Linked DNA regions of Elephas maximus indicus. Each later gene encodes a partner of the first gene's protein in a complex. Links are inferred from orthologs where the notes say so. Each region holds a gene or a part of one and is shown in the gene's direction. Other genes may lie near its edges.

Region 1 (7,135 bases):
CCAAGAAAATGGCAACTCTATTCACCAGTTCTGTCTGTTTGCTGTACTGTGGTGGCTTGTGTGTTGCTATGATACTGGAGGTTATGCCACCGACATTTCAATTAACAGGGTCACCCATGGTGGACAGGTTTCAGCGGATCTTCCGAACTAAGAGTAGGGAGAAAATTCTGACTATGTGCTTCTGAAAATTAGCCATATAACAGAATACTGTCCGATGCAGTGGTGGAAGATGAGCCCCCTAGAAGAGAAGGCATTCTAAATACAGAGTGGCCATAATAATGGACTCAAGCATACCAAAGATCATGATGATGGTGCAGGACCAGGCAATTCTTCATTCTGTTGTACATAAAGTTGCCATGACTGCAACTAACAATGATTTGCCAGGAACTCAGGCCCAATATCCTGAAGTCATCCTTGACCCCTCTTTTAGCTATACTCAGGGGCAAGGGCCAAAGTTTGTGGGGACTGAAGCTTATATAATGGGGGTAGAGCTCTCTAAAAAAATAATAAAGAATACAAACATATCCTTTTTTAGAAATTTTACAAAAACTGTTTTTAAGAAAGCACACTGAGAGGCCCTGACACTCAAGCTTTATTAGCCTCATAGTAAATCCTCTACCCACACCCCACACCTGTTGGTTCTACCTTCAGTTTTATGTCAAGAACCCAGCCTCTTTTCACCACTCCCACTTCCACCATCCTGGTCCCAACTCCCTTCATTTTTTTTAATTAATTTTTATTAAGCTTCAAGTGAACATTTACCATTCCAATCAGTCTGTCACATGTAAGTTTACATACATCTTACTTCCTTCTCCCACTTGCTCTCCCCCTATTGAGTCAGCCCTTTCAGTCTCTCGTTTCGTGCCAATTTTGCCGTCTTCCCTCTCTATCTTCCCACCCCCCTCCAGTCAAGAGTTGCCAACACACTCTCCAGTGTCCACCTTATTTAATTAGCTCACTCTTCATCAGCATCTCTCTCCCCCCCCGCTGACCAGTCCTTTTCATGTCTGATGAGTTGTCTTCGGGGATGGTTCCTGTCCTGTGCCATCAGAAGGTCTGGGGAGCATTGCCTCCGGGATTCCTCTAGTCGCAGTCAGACCATTAAGTATGGTCTTTTTATGAGAATTTGGGGTCTGTATCCCATTGGTCTCCTGCTCCCTCAGGAGTTGTCTGTTGTGCTCCCTGACAGGGCAGACATCGACTGTGGCCGGGCACCAACTAGTTCTTCTGGTCTCAGGATAATGTAGGTCTCTGGTTCATGTGGCCCTTTCTGTCTCTTGGGTTCTTAGTTGTCGTGTGACCTTGGTGTTCTTCCTTTGCCTTTGCTCCAGGTGGGTTGAGACCAATTGATGTATCTTAGATGGCCGCTTGTTGGCATTTAGGACCCCAGATGCCACATTTCAAAGTGGGATGCAGAATGTTTACATAATAGAATTATTTTGCCCATTGACTTAGAAGTCCCCTCAAACCATGTTCCCCAGACCCCAGCCCCTGCTCCGCTGACCTTTGAAGCATTCATTTTATCCCGGAAACCTCTTTGCTTTTAGTCCAGTCCAATTAGGCTGACCTTCCTTGTATTGAGTGTTGTCTTTCCCTTCACCCAAAGCAGTTCTTATCTACTAATTGATCAATAAAAAACCCTCTCCCTCTCTCCCTCCCTCCCCCCTTTGTAACCACAAAAGTATGTGTTCTTCTCAGTTTTTTCTATTTCTCAAGATCTTATAATAGTGGTCTTATACAATATTTGTCCTTTTGCCTCTGGCTCATTTCGCTCAGCATAATGCCTTCCAGATTCCTCCATGTTATGAAATGTTTCAGAGATTTGTCACTGTTCTTTATCGATGCGTAGTATTCCATTGTGTGAATATACCACAATTTATTTACCCATTCATCCGTTGATGGACATCTTGGTTGCTTCCAGCTTTTTGCTATTGTAAACAGAGCTGCAATATCCCTTCATTTTTTGCCTGAACTAATAAGTAGCTTTCCATCTGGTCTTCCTGCTTTTCCTCACCCCTTTAGTCTATTCATCACACAGCAGGCAAATTAGATCACGTCCTTGTTGATTCAACATCCTCCAAACTTCCCATCTCACAGTAATATATAAAGTCCTTATTTATCTGAACACCCATTGCCTCTGGACCATGTCTCTCCCATGTTCTTCCCCTTACTCTGCTCTCACCACACCGAATCCCTGGCTATCTTTGGAAATTGCTGAACACGCATCAGGGCCTTTATATTTGTTATCCCCACTGTCCGTAATTCTTTCCCCTGAAGTCCTCACTTCTTCAGGTCTATACTTCAATGTCATCTTAGAGACGCCTTCCCAGATCACTCTATATAGGATAGCAGCACGCCCTACACATTCCATCTGCCTTGCTTTGGATTTTTCTCCATAGACCTTATCACTACCTGGTATATATTTGTTGTCTCACTCTTCAGTTCTAGAATGTAAGCTCTATGATGGCAGGGATTTTACTTTATTCACTGACGTACCCCCATTCTTAAAACAATGCCTGGTATCTAGCAGGCACTTAATAAACATTAGTGGAAGGGACGAATGAAGAAATGAATTCTTTAACCTGGGAAATCAGGTTACTCATGTTATCATTGATAGAGGAAAAGAAATTTTATTTTCAGGGAGATGGAATACCTTTTGGATGTCAAGCCTGAATGACAGGGGAATCTCTTATATTAAGTTTCTGATTCTATTTTGTGAATAAATACTTGTTGGGTGATGCAGAAGAAAGTAAGCCCTGAGAACTACCCACCTTAAACAGGGTTTTTTTTTTAGACCTGGCTTTGCAGAAAGTTATCAGAATTATAATGCACTTATTCTTCAAACAAGTTTTTACTATATTTCGCTGCATGATTATTTTATCTTTCTTTCCTTTCATGCTCAAACACGGAAGAAAACCTTCACAGACTGCAAGGGTAATGCAATTTCTTTCAAAAGGCATTTTCTCAGATGGTGAACATAATTAAGCTTGTCATTTACTCTGTTTGAGATTATACTTCCACCGCGTGAGATAGCAAGAAGCCCCCTGAACTCCTGTGCCTTCATTTGCTGAAGTCTCTCCCAGTGAGTTTCAAAAAGGGGAGTTCCAGAGAGGGCTCCAATTGGAACCCGAGGCAGTTCAAATGCGCAGTCCCAGTTTTCGATTTCTTGTCAATACAGTCAGTGAACCAGAAAAAGACATCAATGTGCCCGGTCCCTTTCTCCGCAGGGATGCTCTCTGGACTGCTGGCTCCCAGGAAAAGGGAGTCTTGGGGCAGATCCTTTTTTCCCTGAGCAAGAGTGAATGAATTTCTTCAGCTGGAGAGGTATTCCGGCGTTTTACGGGATACAGGACTTAGAAACTACGGCTTTCTAAATAATTCCCCCACAGAGGACCCATCAGGAAACTATTTGATACTAATGAGGAGCCCGTCTCCCTCGCACCAGCTCTCTACTTACCAGAAGACAAATGTCCCAGCTTTGAGAGGCTATAAACGGTGGCCACAGGAGATAATGTCTGCCCCGGAGTCCGGCTGGCTTCCGGCTCGCGTGGTGTCTGTTAAAGCTCTAGGGGATGAACGCAGTAGTCAACTGCTCATTTATTCAACAAATATTTATTGAGCGCCGGGCAAGTGCCAAGCGCCAAGCACTGGGGAGTTCCCTCCGGGGCGAGACACAACCTCTATTAATTCATTCTGTTCCCCGCCCCCGCCCGCCCCAAAAGGCTCCGGAGCGCACAGTGGGCGCAGACTCCCACTCCTCGCCCACCGGTGCCCCGCAGCCCGGCCCGAGTGTGCTGGGCGCCTCCAGCGGGGAACTCGCCCCACCGGATCCAGTCTCTTGGGTTTAATCCGGTGTGGGGAAGGCGGGGGGAAAAAAAAAAAAAGAAAAAAGCCATACCCCAGAGTCAGCCCTGGGAAACTGCTCCCAGAAAGCGCGCAGGGCCGAACGAGCACGCCCGGCGTGGGCGAGCCGGGAGTCCCTGAGCCGGCGGGCAGGCTGCCTCGGGAGCTAAGGGCGCGGCGCGGGGTGGGGCGGCGGGCAGGAGGAGCCGGGGCGGTGCCTCGAGGGCGCAGGGCGGCGCGGCCGCCCGGCCCAGCAGGTGACCGCGGGCGGCGCGGGCGCGGGCGCGGGCCGGGTGGGACCGGCGGCGGAGCGGGTCCAGTCTCGGCGCGGGCGGCGCGCAGAGCCGCGGAAGACGGCTTGCAGGGGTCGCAGCGAAGTTTGACGGAACATGGCGGAAGAGCCCGGGGCGCGGAGCAGCGCGGGGCGGCGGCGGCCGGCGCCGGAGGAGCTGTAGCCGCCGCAACCGGTGCCGCCGCGGGGCGAGGTCGCCGCCATGGCCCGCTGGATCCCGACCAAGAGGCAGAAATACGGAGTTGGTGAGTGCTCGGCCTACCCCGCCCCCCGACCCGGCCAGCTTCGCAGGTCTGCAGCGGTCGCTGCAAAGTTCGCGGGGACTGGCCCTGCCCGCGGGCGAGTCGGGCGGTGGAGTCCGGCGATTTGCAGAGCGCGCCGCCGGCGCCGTGCCGGGCCCCGGGCTCGGGATCTGCGGCCCTCGCGGGTGCCTGCGGGGCTGAACTCGGGCTGCCGCCGTTACTGGGAGCGGGGCGGGCTCGGGGCCCTCTCCCGGGAGGGGTCAGTTGCCGCCCCGGTGGGGAAGTAACTCGGAGTTTTTGGAACCTGAGCGGCTAAATGTGCATTTGGGCTTCGGGACTGATAATCCGCTCCCAAATAAGATTTATCGTGTTGCATAGTAGACGCGTCAAAAGTGAGGGAACCCGCCTGCTATTCATTTGGGAAGCCCAGCTCTGTTGCTCCCCTCCTTCCGCCCATCCGTTTGGTTTCATTCAATGTTTGTAAGCAGCCGAGGTCCGCCGAATGGGAATGCTAGTCGTTTCCCAGTGCTTTCCGACTTCCTTCTTCATAGGTTCCTCTCGGAGGCCTCAAAGTGAGACTGGAGGATAGAAACACGCCTCCTCCCCTTCCCCCGCTTTTCCCTGGGACAGAGTGCTGAGCACTGGAATCTTGCTAACAGTCTGTAAGCTGAGTGGAAAACTGAATTTGTGGTTTGAAGCGATGAGAGGAAGTGTGTGGCTTGGGAAGGGGTGGCTGGCCTCTGGGGCCGTTTGTGCAGACACTCCTCCCCTAACGGAGCTTGTGTGGAGACGGTATAAAGTGGTCTTCAGAATCCTCTTTTTCATCGTGGGGTAAGATGAGGAAAGTTTATTCAGAAAACTCTGTGACAGGTCCGGAGCTAGGCACTTGGCATTCCTAATGGCGGTGCTGGAGAGCCCTAGCATGTGCGGAGGGATTCCTGTTGTGTTGGTTTGGCACAGGGACAAATGGCTTTGCAGGCTTCTGACGCAGGTGAAAAGCCATGCTCCTTCCCCTTTTTAAGTAGACCCGGTGGCGCAGCGGTTAAGCGTTGGGCTGGTAACCAAAAGATCAACAGTTGGAACCCACGAGTCGCTCCGCGGAAGAAAGTTGTGGCAGTGGGATTCTGCTTCCTTAAAGATTACACCCTTGGAAGCCCTATGGGACAGTTCTACCCTGTCGTATACCGTCGCAATGAGTCCAGTTGACTCGACGACGGGTTTGGTTTTTGGTTTTCCACCTTTTTTTTTTTTTTTTAAATCAAAGAGATGCTTTGTTGAGGTCTTGTGGGGGGAACTGTGCCATTAGCGGGGGAGATTGCAATGGCAGTGATAGAGGTCAGAGTGATTCCCTAATATAAACATAGCTGTGTATGTTGAGAATTTTATTACTTCCTCTCATGTTCATTCTTTTGGCCTATTTGTAATTTCTTTTACTTCATTCTGTCTCTAACCCCCATTTTTCCTGGAATATCTAGGGAGGAGCCCCTAAACCAATTCTGAGCTTTTCCACATCTAAGTTTATTTCAGAGATAACTCTTAAGATCTCTAGGTGATTTGAGCTCTGTAGCCATTAAAGGGAGCCCCTGGGTAGTGCCCATGGTTAGCTAGGCTACTAACTGAAAGGTTGGAGGTTCAAGTCCACCCAGAGTCTCCTCAGAAGAAAGGCCTGGCGATCTACTTCCAAAAAACCAGCCATTGAAAACTCTATGGAGCACAGTTTTACTCTGACACACATGGGGTCTCCCTGAGTCAGAAAACTGATAATCACTAAGTACGAATTGCAGAAAAGTTATCAAATCTAAGTTTTGTTTAACTGAATAAAAACTGTGTTCAAAAGTATTATGACTTGGGCACAATTAATGTAAATGTATCCCCAAAATGTGGTTGGTTGTATTGCCATAGTCATAGGAGCAAGTACGATAGTTTTTCTTTTTAACTTTTTTTTTTCCTTTCCTGGAGTTAGTTTTCCATGTTATTTATCATTAGTCAAGAAAAATATTTCAGTAGCCTTTTCAGGACATAGGTGGTAGCACAGTTGCCCCAGGATGTAATTTGGGACACATTTAGCAAAACATAAAGATTCTGATCCTTTACATTTGGTACAAGGGCCAACACTTAGGACAGATTAACTCAAGAGATAAATCTTCATTGTTTATTCCTAAAACACATGATTGTTCATATCACCTCTCTGCTCAGAAGCTTTCCATGCCCTACAGGGTAAAGTCTAAACTGAGCCCAAGTTCCAGTGTTCCAACAGGTCTGATTCAACATATCATCACCATCCTTATCTCCCATGGCTTCTTACGTTAAGCCTCCAATGCAGACAAACTGCTCTTCTCACTCTTGTGCAATACATCACGGAGAGTCCCTCCTTCAGGACTTTGCTCTGACAGTGCTTGTTCCCTGCCCAGAATGCCCTCCCACCTCTGCACCCCACAGTGCAGCCTTCCCATAGCGCTCAAATCTGTTCCCACTGCCTCCCCCAAATTTGCTGTCTGCCACAGCTTCCCAAACCTCCACACCTCTTCTTTACAATCCTGCGTTACTCCATACCTTATTTTGTGCTGATCCTCCTGTATTTGGGTTCTCAAAATCAGAAGGTGATGGTTGTGTCCCTGTCACTCAGGAGGTATACAGGGTGTATAGTGTACATTCAGTAACTGCTTGTCCTTGATGTTGGAGTGGCTTTTTAGAGTAGATGACATAATTTCTGTGGTGAATTAAATGCAGTTTTTCCCCCTCATTCACCCCGATATGA
Region 2 (7,852 bases), on another chromosome or scaffold:
CCCAGGTGCACTTAAAAGACAGGCCTGGCGATTTGCTTCCAAAAAGTTGCAGCTTTGAAAACTCTATGGGGCAGTTCTACTCTGCATGCATGTGAACCAGAATCGGCTCAACAGCAGCAAACAACAACAAAGAAATTTAATTCTACAGATGTATACTGAAGGCAAATGTGGCCCAGCCCTGCCTGTGCCAGTGGGTGGACAGAGATATGAATCAGACATAACCTCAAAGACTTTTAGTCAGTGGGGGAGTCAGACGTTAGGCACAGATACAATTAACTAGAGCACAAAAGAAGATGACCTAAATGGTATTAAAGAACTATGAGCAACACGCTATATACATAAACCTTGATTACTTAATTACTATTCTGAAAAGTGTATCATCTATCTTTTAGTCAGAGCTAAAAGGTATCATCTAGTTCAACCTTTTGTTTTCCACTGGAGTTGTCTGAGATGTGGAGAAGGGTGGGGCCTAACCTAAAGTCTCTCACCAGTCCATTTGGCTGAGCCAAGACTAGAACCAGTTTTTCTGAAGCCCAGTCCAGGGCTCTTTCCACCTCCTCTTGAAGTTCCATGTGCAATAGTCCCATCTCCCATGAGACCGTGTGAACCTCGAAGCAGAGTCAGGTTCTCCCACCCAAGCAAGCTAAGCTAGGACCAGGAGAGCTCAAGGCACCCAGGGATTCAGGATATGCAGCCTGACCACGGGCTGGCAATCCAGCCCTTTGATCTACTGCACCCCAGTGTGCACCCTACTCTTACCAATATGCGTGTAAAATTTATTTTCTTCAAGTATTTTTTTTGCAGGAAACACTTTTTTTTTTTTTTACATGAAGTCTTTACCCAGAGCCAGATCCATTGCCATCAAGTTGATTCTGACTCATGGCCACCCCATGAGTAGCACTGCTCCATAGGTCTTTCTTGACTAATCTTTGTGGAAGCAGGATGTCAGGTCTGTCTTCCACAGCACCAATGGGTGAGTTCAAACCACCAACCTTTAGGTTAGTAGTTGAAAACAAACCCTTTGTGCCACCCAGGGTCCTTTATCCAGGAAAAACCAAGCTTGTTGTTTTCAAGTCAATTTCAACTCCTAGCAACTCTAGAGGAAACCCTGGTGGCATAGCGGCTAAGAGCTATGGCTGCTAACCAAAAGGTTGGCAGTTTGAATTTACCAGATGCTCCTTGGAAACCCTATGGAGCAGTTCTACTCTGTCCTCTAGTGTCCCTATAAGTTGGAATCGACTCAACAACTATGAGTTTGGTAACCCTAGAAGAGGAAGAAGGTCAAAGCCCCACTATTTTCCTGCCCTCATGTCCTGGGAAGGGAACTCTAGGAAGAGAGCTCAAAAATCTTTGTTCTGGAACGTAATTTTTAATGGCTTTAGAGAAGCCATTTTAAGTGTGGTCTTCTGCCAAATCCTGTCTTTTATGGAAACTCACAATCCTGTCTTCGTTCGTCAAACCCGGAGCACCAACCACGTACTCCCACTAGGCTATGGAGGGAATGAGGTTTTCACTTTGTCTCTCCTGTTCTCTCCTTTGCAGAGAGAAGTTGGTCTCAAGTGTTGCTGAACTGAGAAGAGGAACCCAAACTCTGCCTGGGACAGCAGGGGAGGCTTCCTGAGGAGGAGAATCTTGGAGAACTAATTCATCCACTCAGAGTCATTTACCAGCCTAAATCTGATAGCGTATCTAACTTCCCCGTCAGATACCACCAGCCACATGTGCTGTTGAGCAGTTGAAATGTGGCTAGTCCAAATTGAGACATACTGTAAGTGTAAAATACATACCAGATTTCAAAGGTTTAGTACTTCTAATTATTAATTTTTATGTGGATTATATGTTGAATGATAATATTTTTGATATATTGTGTTAAATAAAATATATTACTAGAATTAATTTTACGTGTTTCTTTTTACTTTTTAGCAAATGTCATTATTAAAAGATTTTTTTCTCGGTTCATTTTTTTTTTTCAAATTTTATTTTGTTGTTATTGAGAATATACACAGCAAAACATACACCAATTCAGCAGCTTCTACATGTACAATTTAGTGACATTGATTAACATTTTTCAAGTTGTGCAACTATTCTCATCCTCCTTTTCTGACTTGTTCCTCTCTCTTTAACATAAACTCATTGCCCCCCAAAGGTTCCTAGCTAATCTTTGGAGTTACTCTTGTCAATGTGATCCCATATAGATGTTCTTCAAAGACCACAATGCTCAAGGCAGACCTGTTTTACCAGTTAAGCTAAACTATTGTTTGGTTTTAAGATGAGTTCAGGGATACTTTTGGTTTAAGGTCTAAAAATTATCTCAGGGTGACTAGAAGGACTCCAGTGGTCGTGGCCCCCAGACCTTCTGTTGGCCCAGGACAGGAACCATTCCCGAAGCCAACTCTTCAAACATGGATTGGACTGGACAATGGGTTGGAGAGGGATGCTGGTGAGGAGTGAGCTTCTTGGATCAGGTGGACACTTGAGACTATGTTGGCACCTCCTGCCTAGAGGGGAGATGAGAGGGTAGAGGCAGTTAGAAGCTGGCGCAATGGACACAAAAAGAGAGTGGAGGGAGAGAGCGGGCTATCTCAATAGGGGGAGAGTAATTGGGAGTGTGTAGCAAGGTGTATACGGGTTTTTGTGTGAGAGACTGACTTGATTTGTAAACTTTCACTTAAAGCACAATAAAAATTATTTTAAAAAAATTATCTTAGGGCAATAGTTTCAGGAGTTCATTTACCCTCCCTGGCTCCAGAAAGTCTAGAGTCCATGAAAATTTGAAATTCTGTTCTACATTTCCCCCCTTTTGATCAGGATTCTTCTATAGCTCCGTAATGGTAGCTGGGCACCATCCAGCTCTTCTGGTCTCATGACAAAGGAGGCAGTTGTTCATGGAGGTAATTAGCCACACATTCTGTTATGTTGTTAGGTGCCATCAAGTCGGTTCCAACTTATAGTGACCCCAACCACAACAGAAGGAAACACTGCCCCATCCTGCGCCATCCTCACAATCGTCCTTATGCTTGAGCCCATTGTTGCAGCCACTGTGTCAGTCTATCTCTTTGAGGGTCTTCCTCTTTTTTTGTTGACCCTCTACTTTATCAAGCATTATGTCCTTCTCCAGGGACTGGTCCCTCCTGGTAACATGTCCAAAGTTAACATTCCATATCCTTCTATTCCTGACTGTCCTTCTTCCTCTTTTGCTCCAGGTTAGTAGAGACTAACTGTTGCGCCTTGGATGGCCCCTTGCAAGCTTTTAAGATCCCAGGCACTACTCAAGTTACTAGGAAGTAGAACAGAGGCACTAAACACATTATTAGGCCAATTAACTGGGATGTCCCATAAAACTATGACCCTAAATATCCAAACCAAGGAACCAAATCCCATGAGGTGTTTGGTTGTACACAAACTCAGCAGCTGCTTTTTTTTTTTGTCATTGTCATCATTAGAAAATTTTGAATTACAAATGTGGCTTGCATTCTATTTCTTTTGGACAGCACTGGGAGAGTCAAACGCATGGCAGGGGTGGTTGGGGTATGTGTGTGCTGGAGGGAGGAAAGATGAAGCCAGGCAGGGAGTAGTTTAGTACAGCCAGATTGTGAAAGAATAAGCCGATCTCCCCTGGCCGACTACACAGAAAAGAAGTCAGAGGGAACAGAATGCGCAAAGATCCAAAGATGTGGGCAAGCCCGCTGTGTTTTGAGAACTCATAGTATGACATAAAAAGAAAAAATAAAGAAGCATTTATTGAGTGTTTACTTTGAGCCAGGCACTGACAGTAGGCCTTTTACATCTATTATTTTATCTTTACAACTAACGGGCGAAGGGGACCGTATTCTATTTTACCAAAGAAAGAACTGAGGCTCAGAAAGGTCGAGCTATTTATTCCCGGAGCTCACCCTTTTTTATGTGGAAAACCTCTTGAAGACAGGGCGCCTCTACGGTCTTAAACGCCTGTGAGTTTCTAGAGCACCCAGCATGGGGTTCTGCACGTGGTTGGCGCTGGAAAGTTTGATTTGAACCAAGAATATCAGCTCCAAAGTCAGAGTTCCGTGCAAGGCGTCGGAGCAAAAACACCAGAGGGCGCCCACGAGTCCGCCAGTCCCCCGGGCCCGGACCCCGACCTCCGGCCGCGACCCCGCGGCCTGGGTGCGGCCCTTCAGCCTCTAGCAGCTGCGCGCCCCGGCGGGAAGATGGAGCGCGGGGAGCCCCACGTCCTCTGCCCGCCCCGCCCCCTCCCCAGGGCCCGGCTGAGCCACCGGGTGCGGAACGACGACACGACATCCTGTTTTTGGGCCCGCGGCTCCGCCTGCGCCTCTGCTGATCTTGTCTTTCCCCGTGTGCTGACGCCAGCTCCCCTTCCCCCAGTCTCCGCAACCCCCCCCCACAAAGGGTCTGGGGCCTTCCCACTACTGAATCATCACCACCCCGCAATCCCCCGGGGCTCGGGGCAAAGGTGGGGACTGCCCCAGCGTAACCTATTCTGCCCATTCCCCAGCTGCGGCCATTGCCCGGTCCCTGGGTTTGGCAGAAGTCACCAGGCCTAGGGGCGCCTTTTCTCAGCATCTTCCCGCAACGGGTGGAAGGGACGAGATACAGGCGTGGGGGACAAATGCCTAGCGCCTAGGCTTAGGCCTCTGATGGGACCGGAGCCAAGGAGGAGGCTAGAAGGCCTGACCTTGGCAGGCTTGACTTAAAAGACTCCGGCCAGTGGGCTGAAGGCGGGGAGCCTCGGACCGGGGCGGGGGCGAGGCCGTGGGTGGGGGGCAAGGCTGGGAGAGGGTGAGGCGGTGAGGGCGGGTCGCGGACTTCCTGGTCGTGCCCCGCGCTCCGCCCCCGCGCCCCGCCCCGCCGGCTGGCCCGCCCCCCCCACTTCCTCCGGCCTCCCGCTCTCACTTCCTTCTTGAGCCCGGAGCCGCTGCCGCCGCCTCCCCAGCTCCCCCGCGGTGGGGAGGGCAACAGGTAAGGCTGGGCCCGGGCCGGCGGACTGGGGGACCGGGGGAGGGGAGCCCGGCCAGCGCGGGACGGGGCGCAGGCGCCGGCCCAGGAAGTTTGCTTGCGGGAGGCCGCGGGCGGGAGGTTCTTGGTTCGCTCCAAGTTGGGCGGGCGCGGCCGGTCGGGCGGGGCGGAGACCGGGCCACTGCGAGCCAGCGGCGGCTCGGTCAGAGTGGATTCCCGGCAGCTGTACCGGCTCTCGGGAGCCGGGAGAACCCCCTTAGGCCAGCGTGTCTCTGGCTCAGGGAGGACAGCCTCTGAAGTGGAAGTGCTCAGAGCTAGGATGTGGAACTCAGAGGTGGGGGTGCCCACAGAAGTTGTCGGTGGAGGGCGGTGACCAAGTGTGTGAGGGGAGAGAGTCTCGGGCAATTGTGACATTTGTGAGGTTGAGAGGGGGTAGGTGTCTGGGGCCTGCGAACCCTGGAGACTGCACAGAAAGAGGTCCCGCCCTGGGAGAACGAGGTCACCCCATACCCACACTCTGCAACCAAAAGGACCCGGAGGGAACCCCGCCGACCCCAGTCCTTCTCTCTGTGTGTCTGTTTCTCTGAAGCCCAACCTCCCCATCCCTGGACCCAAGCAACAGGTATTCAGTGAGCAGACATCTGCAGTGCCCAGCTGACCAGTGTCTGGCCTTGCTCTGTGGTGGGTAAACTGAGGAAGGAAAAGGCCTGGTCTTGTCCTGTGGCTGGAGGTGAAAGGACTCTCATTCAGAGATACTGAGAGTTGGACAAGATGGCATAACTGAGATCAGGTCTGTTTTCAGGAAATGGAGAAAATAGGGCTTCTGAGAGGCATCAGGGTCTCTGGCCTTCTGGGAACAATTGGTAGCCATCTACTAGTCTTCCCCCCCCCGCCCCCGCCATTCTTAGTCCCTGAATTCTACCCACTTTCTCATTCTGTCTCCCTCCATCCCTCCTTTAGTCTCCACCCACAAACTGGCCATCACTATCTCCTCTCCTCCCCTCTCCTTCTGTCTTCTTTCCCCCGATCACAGCCCTGACCTCTCCTTAACTACTCTAACCTGCTGTCCATCTCAGTCTCCTGCTGCATCCCCCCCCTCCTTTCGCTATCCGGCTTCTGGCTCCCCACCATCTTGTTCCTTCCATCTCCTCTCATTCTCATAATCTCTCAGTTTGTCACCCTCTCTCTGTCACCTTCCCTTTCACCCACTTCTCTCCAGCTTTGGGGTCAGGATCTACTGTAGAAGACTTGGTGAGTTTGAGAGCCTTTTTGAACCTCCCAGAGACATGCTGCAACCTCTCGGTGATGGAGATGATTAAAGGGCTGGAAAATGTCTGTGTGTGTGTGTGTGTGTGCGCACATGTGCAAGTGTCTCTGTGTCCATATCTTTAACTGGAGACAGCCAAATAACTGCTCTCAGCCTTGAGAGGCCCCAGAGCAGGGGAAGCCAGCAGAATGAAGGGAACCTGCAGTGGATGAGTTGTGGTTAGGCAGGAGGAAGCAGTCCATAGCAGTCAGGGTACAGTAACACAGGAATAAGACTGGTGAGAGAGGCCACAGGAAATCAGAGTCGTCCAGACCCTTGACTGCTTAACCAAGAAGCCAGTCCTGAAGGCTGGGGGACAGTGAGTGGCCTTAGGAGATGAGTCCCTGGCTTCAGCACCTCCTGGTGGGAAGAATAGGATCAGGCCACCTAGGTGCAGTGGAAGAGAGCAAAGGCAGCTGATTTAACTTCAGTCTTAGGTGTTTTCATTTCAGTTCAGGAGAAGAAGATGGGTATGAGGCAAAAGTGTCTGCCCCTCTTCCCTCCTACCTTCCAGAGGCCATCCAGACTGGGCCTTGGTGACCGGGAAGCCCTCTGGAGTTCAGCTCTTGATGCCTTTAGCCATTCTTAATATTCCCTCTATCACCTAGGACCCTACTCCCTCTCTTTTGTGAATTTCTTCCAAGTCTAATTTTAGCCTAGCCTGGCTCTATAAGCTCTTTTTGTTTCCATTCTAGAGCTCCTTTCTCAGGCCTTTGGGATGTATGCTAAGGGTTCCTGCTTCTCTCAAGCTCCTCCAGTCTGCTCTACTCCTATCCGCTAGAAAAAAGAGAAGTAGAGGGGAGCAGGCACTACTTTTTTGGGTTCCCAGGCACAGATAAATGTAAGGCTCTCCCCATTCCTTATCCCATTCTCTTCCCTTCTCACAGTTGTCCCTTTCCCATGAGTTGTTCCTTCTTCCAGTCCTGCTCTTCCACCTACCTGTCTCTCCTACTCTCATTTCTGGGAGGTGCAGGGAGTTTGGCCCCAGGAGGAAATCCCAGGGAGGGGCTAGCCTTGCATAAAATTCCAGCCCTGGGAAGGATGTGCATGAAAGACACTTTCTCGACATCAGGATTCAGTTTAAAAAAAAAAAACTACCCAAGAGTTGTGACACACACGAGTTCAGCATTTTACATAATTGAGCAACTCATGGGACTCTGAGGGTGAAGATAGAATGGATGAGTTCTCCCAGTCAAGATCTGGCAGTACTAGAGGATTGTTAATTGCAAGAAAATCATTACTGGAAAAATACAACAGGGATGAGGAGAATCTAATTGGGAAAATATCATGGGGGAGTCGGGGGGAGCGTTGCCTACAACCTAGGAGATAGCTGTTGAGGTCTTGACTAAAGAAATACTGTCAAGGTCATGGCATGAAAAGAAATGGCTGATGTGAAGTTGTTACAGATCCTGATTGGGAATCTGGGACAACAGGGGTTGCTTCTGGCAAAGTGTTAGGGCAGAAGCGGCTGGTGTAAACTTTTAGGGGCTTATGAGCCAGAAGGTATAAGAGGTTGTAGTAGCTGGGGTACTGGGAAGCAGAGGGAACCCTGACAGTGAATTCAGCTTAATGAGGTAGGAACAACTCCAAAAA

What was found.
Region 2: the proteins of DOCK5 (region 1) and RHOG are in contact, whole or in part, in a cryo-EM structure (PDB 8XM7), measured with the Homo sapiens proteins. The link is inferred for Elephas maximus indicus from reciprocal best matches to the Homo sapiens genes DOCK5 and RHOG. Residues at the interface, in NP_079216.4 of Homo sapiens: Val232, Phe345, Asn393, His394, Lys395, Gly396, Trp400; in NP_001656.2 of Homo sapiens: Ala121, Pro123, Leu126, Arg127, Arg128, Lys130.

What each region holds. Positions count from the first base shown.
Region 1 is NC_064840.1:48,552,094-48,559,228, reverse strand, and holds the start of DOCK5 (dedicator of cytokinesis protein 5), read left to right. Parts: upstream 1-4,119; 5' UTR 4,120-4,337; coding exon 4,338-4,380; intron 4,381-7,135. UniProt on the Homo sapiens protein: Guanine nucleotide exchange factor (GEF) for Rho and Rac. GEF proteins activate small GTPases by exchanging bound GDP for free GTP. Along with DOCK1, mediates CRK/CRKL regulation of epithelial and endothelial cell spreading and migration on type IV collagen.
Region 2 is NC_064825.1:53,151,918-53,159,769, reverse strand, and holds the start of RHOG (rho-related GTP-binding protein RhoG), read left to right. Parts: upstream 1-4,852; 5' UTR 4,853-4,956; intron 4,957-7,852.